2 linked regions of the Oryzias latipes genome follow. The protein of the gene in region 2 purifies or fractionates together with the protein of the main gene of each other region. This does not show direct contact. Links are inferred from orthologs where the notes say so. Each region holds a gene or a part of one and is shown on either strand. Other genes may lie near its edges.

The links. The genes of interacting proteins can lie anywhere in the genome.
Region 1: the proteins of atp6ap2 (region 2) and atp6v1f purify together in Homo sapiens (affinity purification with mass spectrometry; 3 studies listed by BioGRID and IntAct, counting the BioPlex papers as one, with this or other methods). This does not show direct contact. The link is inferred for Oryzias latipes from reciprocal best matches to the Homo sapiens genes ATP6AP2 and ATP6V1F.

Annotation. Positions count from the first base shown.
Region 1 is NC_019881.2:23,881,853-23,885,003, forward strand, and holds atp6v1f (V-type proton ATPase subunit F), read right to left. Parts: upstream 1,637-3,151; 5' UTR 1,567-1,636; coding exon 1,409-1,566; intron 1,027-1,408; coding exon 825-1,026; 3' UTR 680-824; downstream 1-679. UniProt on the Homo sapiens protein: Subunit of the V1 complex of vacuolar(H+)-ATPase (V-ATPase), a multisubunit enzyme composed of a peripheral complex (V1) that hydrolyzes ATP and a membrane integral complex (V0) that translocates protons.
Region 2 is NC_019879.2:8,800,936-8,804,321, reverse strand, and holds the end of atp6ap2 (renin receptor), read right to left. Parts: intron 2,738-3,386; coding exon 2,684-2,737; intron 2,596-2,683; coding exon 2,446-2,595; intron 2,367-2,445; coding exon 2,247-2,366; intron 1,455-2,246; coding exon 1,260-1,454; 3' UTR 701-1,259; downstream 1-700. UniProt on the Homo sapiens protein: Multifunctional protein which functions as a renin, prorenin cellular receptor and is involved in the assembly of the lysosomal proton-transporting V-type ATPase (V-ATPase) and the acidification of the endo-lysosomal system.

The DNA.
Region 1 (3,151 bases), on a different chromosome or scaffold from region 2:
TGGTTTGGACCTCTGGTTCCGTCAGAGTCCAGCAGTGAACATGCATGGCCTGTCATGGGGGGGTCCTGGGGGTCAACAACAAACTGGAATGTCCAAAACACACTTTTGTTTTATTCAAGAAGGGCCACAGTGGCCCCCCTCCTCCTGAAGAGCCGGCGGCTCCATGGCGAGTAGCGCCTGCAGCTGTGGGGTCTACCACTGAGGGGACTGCTGAAGACTCCTACCCCCTCCTGAATGAGACCATGGGGAGGTTCCTCTAGCTGCTCCCCCTCAGACCAGTACCAGAGGTCCTGGATCCGGACACCAGTCTGCTGTGTAACAGCGTCTGACCGTTTCCCCTTTCACTGAAGAGCAGTAACAGCGTTCTGAGGGAATGTTCCATGAAGGATTCCAACGTTCCGTCTGACCAGGACTTTGGATGACATCAGCCTCACTTTGGCTAAAGTATGATGTCATTACTCTCTGATGGAGGACTGTGATGTCACGAATAGTGACGTCCTTTACCTCCCACTATCGTTTTCATGATGTCATCATCAATCAAACGCGTCTATGGTTCCGTGTTTTCCGATCCACGGCTGAACGCAGCAGTGGAACCAACCTTCCTCCCAGCACCATCAGGGTCCCGCAGGAACCATCAGACTTCCCGCTGCCGGGTTGGAGGCGAGTCAAGAGAACGGAGCGGCGTTCAACATTTTATTTCAAGGCGTCAAAATCACAGCGGAATAATTTAACAAACAGGAAGTGGGAGCGTGGAATAATTTAACAAACAGGAAGTGGGAGCGGGTCGGACCCCACTACAACCACATGAAGGCGTGGCGAGCGGTTCATCGGAAGTCCTCTGCAGAGAACATGCCCTTGGCGCGGCGCAGGATGGAGTCCTTGGACGCGTCGTAGGGGTGCTCCTTAGACGGGATCTCCAGCACCGCCGGGATGGACTGCACGTGCGCGTCGATGGCGTGCCGGATCATTTCTGCGATGAACTGGTTGATCAGGATGATGCCGATGTCGTTCCTCGCCAGAAAGCTCCTGCAGAGGAGGAAGCTCAGTTAGAACCACAGGAGACTGGAACCAGAACCAGTCCGGCACCAAACACTCGGACCTGCAGCCAGACCCGGGTTCTGGCTGAAGCCCCCGTGGTGATGACGTCATCGGACCAAAGGATCTACTGGGAACCCCGATGTCCTTAAGGTTCTGTAAGAGCCGTAAAGGAACGTCTGGGTTCTGGTCGTTCCTCCCTCCACCGGCAGGAACCGGGAAAGTTCCTCCGTGATTCGGTCCCACACAGAACTCGTTTCCCTTTGATGTTCCAGCGCTTAGAGGCCTCGCGCTCATAATGATCCCGGTCAAAAGAGCGGACACGACGGTGCGTGCATGCGTGCGTGTTCATATGGGGGTGGGGGGGTCTTACTTGAACGTTTCCTCGATCTCAGTGACGCTCGTGTCTTTCTCCACCACCAGGAAGTTCGGTTTCCGGTTCTTGTTCAGCTCCCCGATCCCGCCCAGCAGGAACCCGGTGCACGTGTCCTCATCACCGATCACGGCGATCAGCTTCCCGCGGCCCGCCATCACGCGCTGTTCGGTTCGGTTCTGTAGTCACGAAGCTCACGTCACGTGAGCAAGTCAGCTGACTTTGTCACTTCCGTTTCAGGCTGCTGAGTTTTCGTCATTTCCGGCCCCTCCCCCCTCGATGCTCGTTAAAAAACGTTTATTTTCCTGAAAATATTCCTTTGCAATCCGTTTTTAAATACCTGTGGAGGTGAACAGGGGCTCCATTCTATTTTCTGTGATCTTTTATTCTGCATTTAATGGATTCTATATATGCATGTCTATTGTACTGCAGAAATATGCAGATTCCTGCCTTCAGGAACAGATAATATGTACAGAGGTCACCATAGGGGTCACCATAGGCCTGTTTTTGACTGTTGGTCTGTTTTCTTTCTGTACTGGAGTATTTATGGAGCCACGACAGGCGCAATGCAGACTAGACACAAACACACCATTCTAGTGACGTATCTAGTATGTTTTCATCTTCCCTCACTGAAGAATAAAATAGAAAGAAGAAAACTCATTATCTGCCCCATTGCTGCATCGACAACAGTAAATCAAAGTCAATCAAACAAAGAGAAGGATTTTTACATAAATATCCTATTAGAGAATATTTTTTTATTTACAATATTTAATAAAGATATTCTATATTCTATTCATTTTTGTGTTTTTATGCATTTTTTTCAGAACTACAAACAGGCTGGGCTCTAAACTCATCTACTCAGGTAAACGAGATCAGCTGGGATGAAACGTTGAAAAGCACAAAGTGTCTGACGGGCGTGACGGGCGTCTAATCTGAGCTTTCTGGCAAAGCCAGGAGCCGGGGGTGTCTGTGTCCCTGTGGTGTGGGTTCCGGTCCTTGCCCCTGAGTGATGGGACTCGCCAAATTTCCAACTGTGGCCGAGCCTGGTCGGGCCATGTTTACAACACTTCTTGTGGACCCCCTCTTCTCTTGGGTGACCTCCCCCTGGGCGGGGACGGCTGGCCCCTGCCTTGCTCTTTTCTGGACCAGCCGTGGGCCTGGTGGGTGGATGTGATCGCCCGGGAGCAGTTGTTCTCTGCCTGCTGCCGTGTGGCGTTGGGGGGTTGTGGCTGCCGCTGCTGCTGCGGTGGGGGTGTGTGGATGGCTGGACACTCTCCTTCCTTCTTTTCACATTCCATCATCCATTCAAAAAGAACATAAACACTCACCTGAGCACAGGTGTTAGCTCACCTTTGCACTAAAATTATGCGTGATTGAATGAAATGTTTCACACTATTTGGTTTGAATGCATAAGTATGAGTATATGAACATTATTTGTATTGTGTACATGTTGACATGTGAACATTTTTTGGAGCCAACAGGTGTGTTATAACATGTGTGTGTGTGTATGTGTGTATGTGTGGACACGCCCCACCCTTAAAGACCTGTTTTACATCTGAACCTCACTGTAATGATTACAACCATCCAGAAACTTGTTGCTTTATGCTGCTTCATGGTTTTACCCCCCCCCCCCTTATAATCACCCTCCTACCCCCCCCCCCCCACTCTAACATCCCTCTCTCTTCCTCCCTTCTTTCCTTTTCCGTCCGGTCCAACACCAAAGATTTTCAAATACGATTAAAA
Region 2 (3,386 bases):
TAAATCGTGATATTTATGTAGAATACACTACAAATTAAGTTCTTAAATACGTAATGTAGATAGCACTATACGTAATAAATACATAATAAATATAGCTAAGTGAGAAATCATCTCTTATGTGGTTTCCCGTCCAAACAGGAAGTAAAATATAATTTGTTTGTTTTTCTCTTTAGATTCTCGTTTATAGAAGCTGCATGGAATTCTACTGTTAGAAGATAAGTTAATAATGTATCTACTAACCAAGTATTTTACCTTTTATCAGTAATCACACCATCGTTTGTTGTCTCTCGTTAAGTCCACTGTCTTGGGGACAGTCGTCTTCCTTACTTCCTCATTCTGTGTATTTATGGCTGACGCTTTAAAGTCTCGCGACAAATGATATGTCGCATAGAAAGCTAAAGGCGGGGCTTACAATTTATTTCAATTCTGATTGGCTGAACGCTTACGCACAAAGGCGGATGACAAGCAGGTCTAAGATGAGCAAGTATGACTGTGCATTTTTAATGTAGTTATATTATTTATAGTTTCTGATTACAAATGTTGACATCCTGTTAAACTGTTGCTATTGGAAAATAAATATTCATAAAACAGAACACAGCTTTTAAACAATTTACCTTTAAAATCCACAAGTGATTTTACAATTTTTTCAAATGCGAGATTGTAATCGCATTTAAAAAACATCAGTAAAGTGAACGAAGTATTCATTAAGGATTCAATATTTATTGCGATTTACAGAGCTTCTTTTATTTTACACCCATAACAACAAACATTATGATCAAGTTTCCTTGCAACAAAATGTAGTCATTTGGAATGGAATTACAGTGAAACCAACCTTCTACACATTTTTCACAATAAGACTACAGCAGGTCCTCATACTTTTGTATCTGTATACTCAATATATACACATATGTATTTAACTTAAACAGCATCACACAAAAACCAAGCACGACATATTAGCCAAATAAGTCTTCTTTCATAAATTTATCATCACTTTTACTGCACAAATAATAAAAAAACACAGAAATCAGCAGGGCGATCAGGTGAAGCAAACATGAGGAGCTCAAGTTATGAAGGAATCATGTGAGCTGTGAAAGTAAAGGGAATAAACCCAACAAATATTCTGTTTTTTTTTTAATCTATCAATCACAGCCTCTTCTTTTTTTACATTACCTGTTTTGTTGTTTTCTTTGTTGGCAAAAGAAAGCCCGACACAAAACACAAACATTTACTCTGAAAACAGCGATGATGACTGTGAGAATTTAATCCATCCTGATCTTCTGATTGGTCATCCTATAGATGATGCTGTCATAACCTGGGTCCATGTTCCACAGGTTGTAAGCAATGACGATGACGGCGAGGACCAGCACGATCATCATCCACAGCACTATGTTAAAGATCACTGCGTACTCAAAGTTGTACTTGTAGGCCAGGTTGTACGGGCTGCCAGGGTTACTCTGGAGATGAACACAAACATTAAGTTAATCCAGGGGTGTGCAACCTGAGGCTCTGGAGCCACATGTGGCTCTGTTATGCCTCCATTGTAGCTCTCTGATTAAAGAAAAAGACGAGGATTAACATAGTTTTTGGACTATAAAACAAAACAGATAAGTTTAACTTTATTCAATCCATTTACAAACAGTGAAAGTACAGTACAACTCACTCATCTTTGCGGCTTCATAACTTATCAAAGTTGTACTAAAACACATTTTTGAGCACCGTGTGTCACAAAAGGCCTGTTTCAGGGTGCACTGTTGATATTTGAGAAAATGAAAAGATTTTAAGCGCCTTCTGGGTCACTAAATTAGCTCTGATTTAATTTGAGTTAGTCAGGTTTACAAATTTATAGCAAAAACAGTTCAAGTAATTGTGTAGGGTTTATTTTTTTTTAATCCCAATTGACATTAGACAACCTACTACATTTACTGCATTGAAAGGATCCCTTGTGATACAGGGTCTATTTTATTTTGAAAGGAAGTCTTGGGAAACTGCCAATAGTTATAAACGATTTCATATTAAGAATAAGAAATGTAATTTTCTCTTTACGTTTTTTTTTCATGGCAAGAATTCATTCATATTTATCATAAAAGTAACAATAACATAAATATAAGCTCCTACTGGGTTGGAGACAGTGTGAAATCAACCTGAAAGGGTCTTTAAGTGTTGAAGGTTGCAGGCCCCTGTGTTAATCCATTGTTAAATGAAATGCTGTTGAGTTCTCTGGACACCTTTCTTCCCGCAAGACTTACAATCTGCTTAGATTCCAGGATTGAACGAGACTTCCTGGTCAAAGGAGCTTCAAATGTTTTCACCGTGACAACCTCCACAGCAGCACTGTTGCCATAGAGACGATACATGTCCTCTCCAAACTAGAATGAAAAGAACGTAGGAGGTTAAAATGTGGTCCTGTTGAAGGCTTCTGCATTACCCTCCGGTCCTCCTCGGTACCTTCTGAAGGACAGAAGCAAGGATGGATGTGGCGTCCCGGTACTGAGGAGAGTCTTTGCCATAGACGCGGCTCAGCTCCTCCAGCCCAGACAGCTCCAGTGAGTACAGGTCAGGAGAGTTGTCCTTGGCCAAATGTCGGTGTCTCTGCAGCTGCAGCAAGATGAGATAAAATACATTTGACTCAAAGCTAATGAAATACTTTCTCCATGACTGAAGAAAAGACTGACCAGCCTCTTACCAGAGCTGTGATATCATGCAGCACTTGGACCTCAGACAGGAAGAGCAAATCTGCCTAAGAAAATAAAAGCATCATCAAAGAAGATAAGGTTTCTTTTCCACCCAGCAGGATTTTGGTTAGATGAGATTGTAAAAGTCCCACCCCGATCATCATTAGATCTACTGTGTACTACAGTGGTCTTTTTATTATGATTATTTAACTAAAATCCAAAACCTGTGTTGTTTTCTAGGACATCATTTCTGCAAAGCGGCAAAGGTTCATTAAAAATGTTGCCTCTGAGTTGTGGGCGGGACTGTTGGTGAAGAGTAAGCCCCCCTCCCCATCCCGATATCCATTTGTTTACACGCTCTCCTGCTAGCTTACGGCCCCTCACACCCCAAACCGAACATTACAAGTGCAACAAACATGGCAAACAAGATGGGAGCTATCCAGCTGCACAGTTTTGATCCAGAAACCAGCTCAGACTAGGAAAACACAGACAAACATGGATCTATTTGTCTGCTATTTGATGCATCAAAATGGAGCAGAGCAGGGAGGTTATGCCCCGCCAACTGTAGCTTCTGTGTCACATCCACAAGCTTCTTCAAACAGCATTTTTTCGTCTGCTACCGATTCACAACAATCTGAATAAAGAAACACTCAGAAAAGCAATTTTAAGCTTCATTTTCTTTATATATTTCCTCTATCATGAGAAAAACGCCAC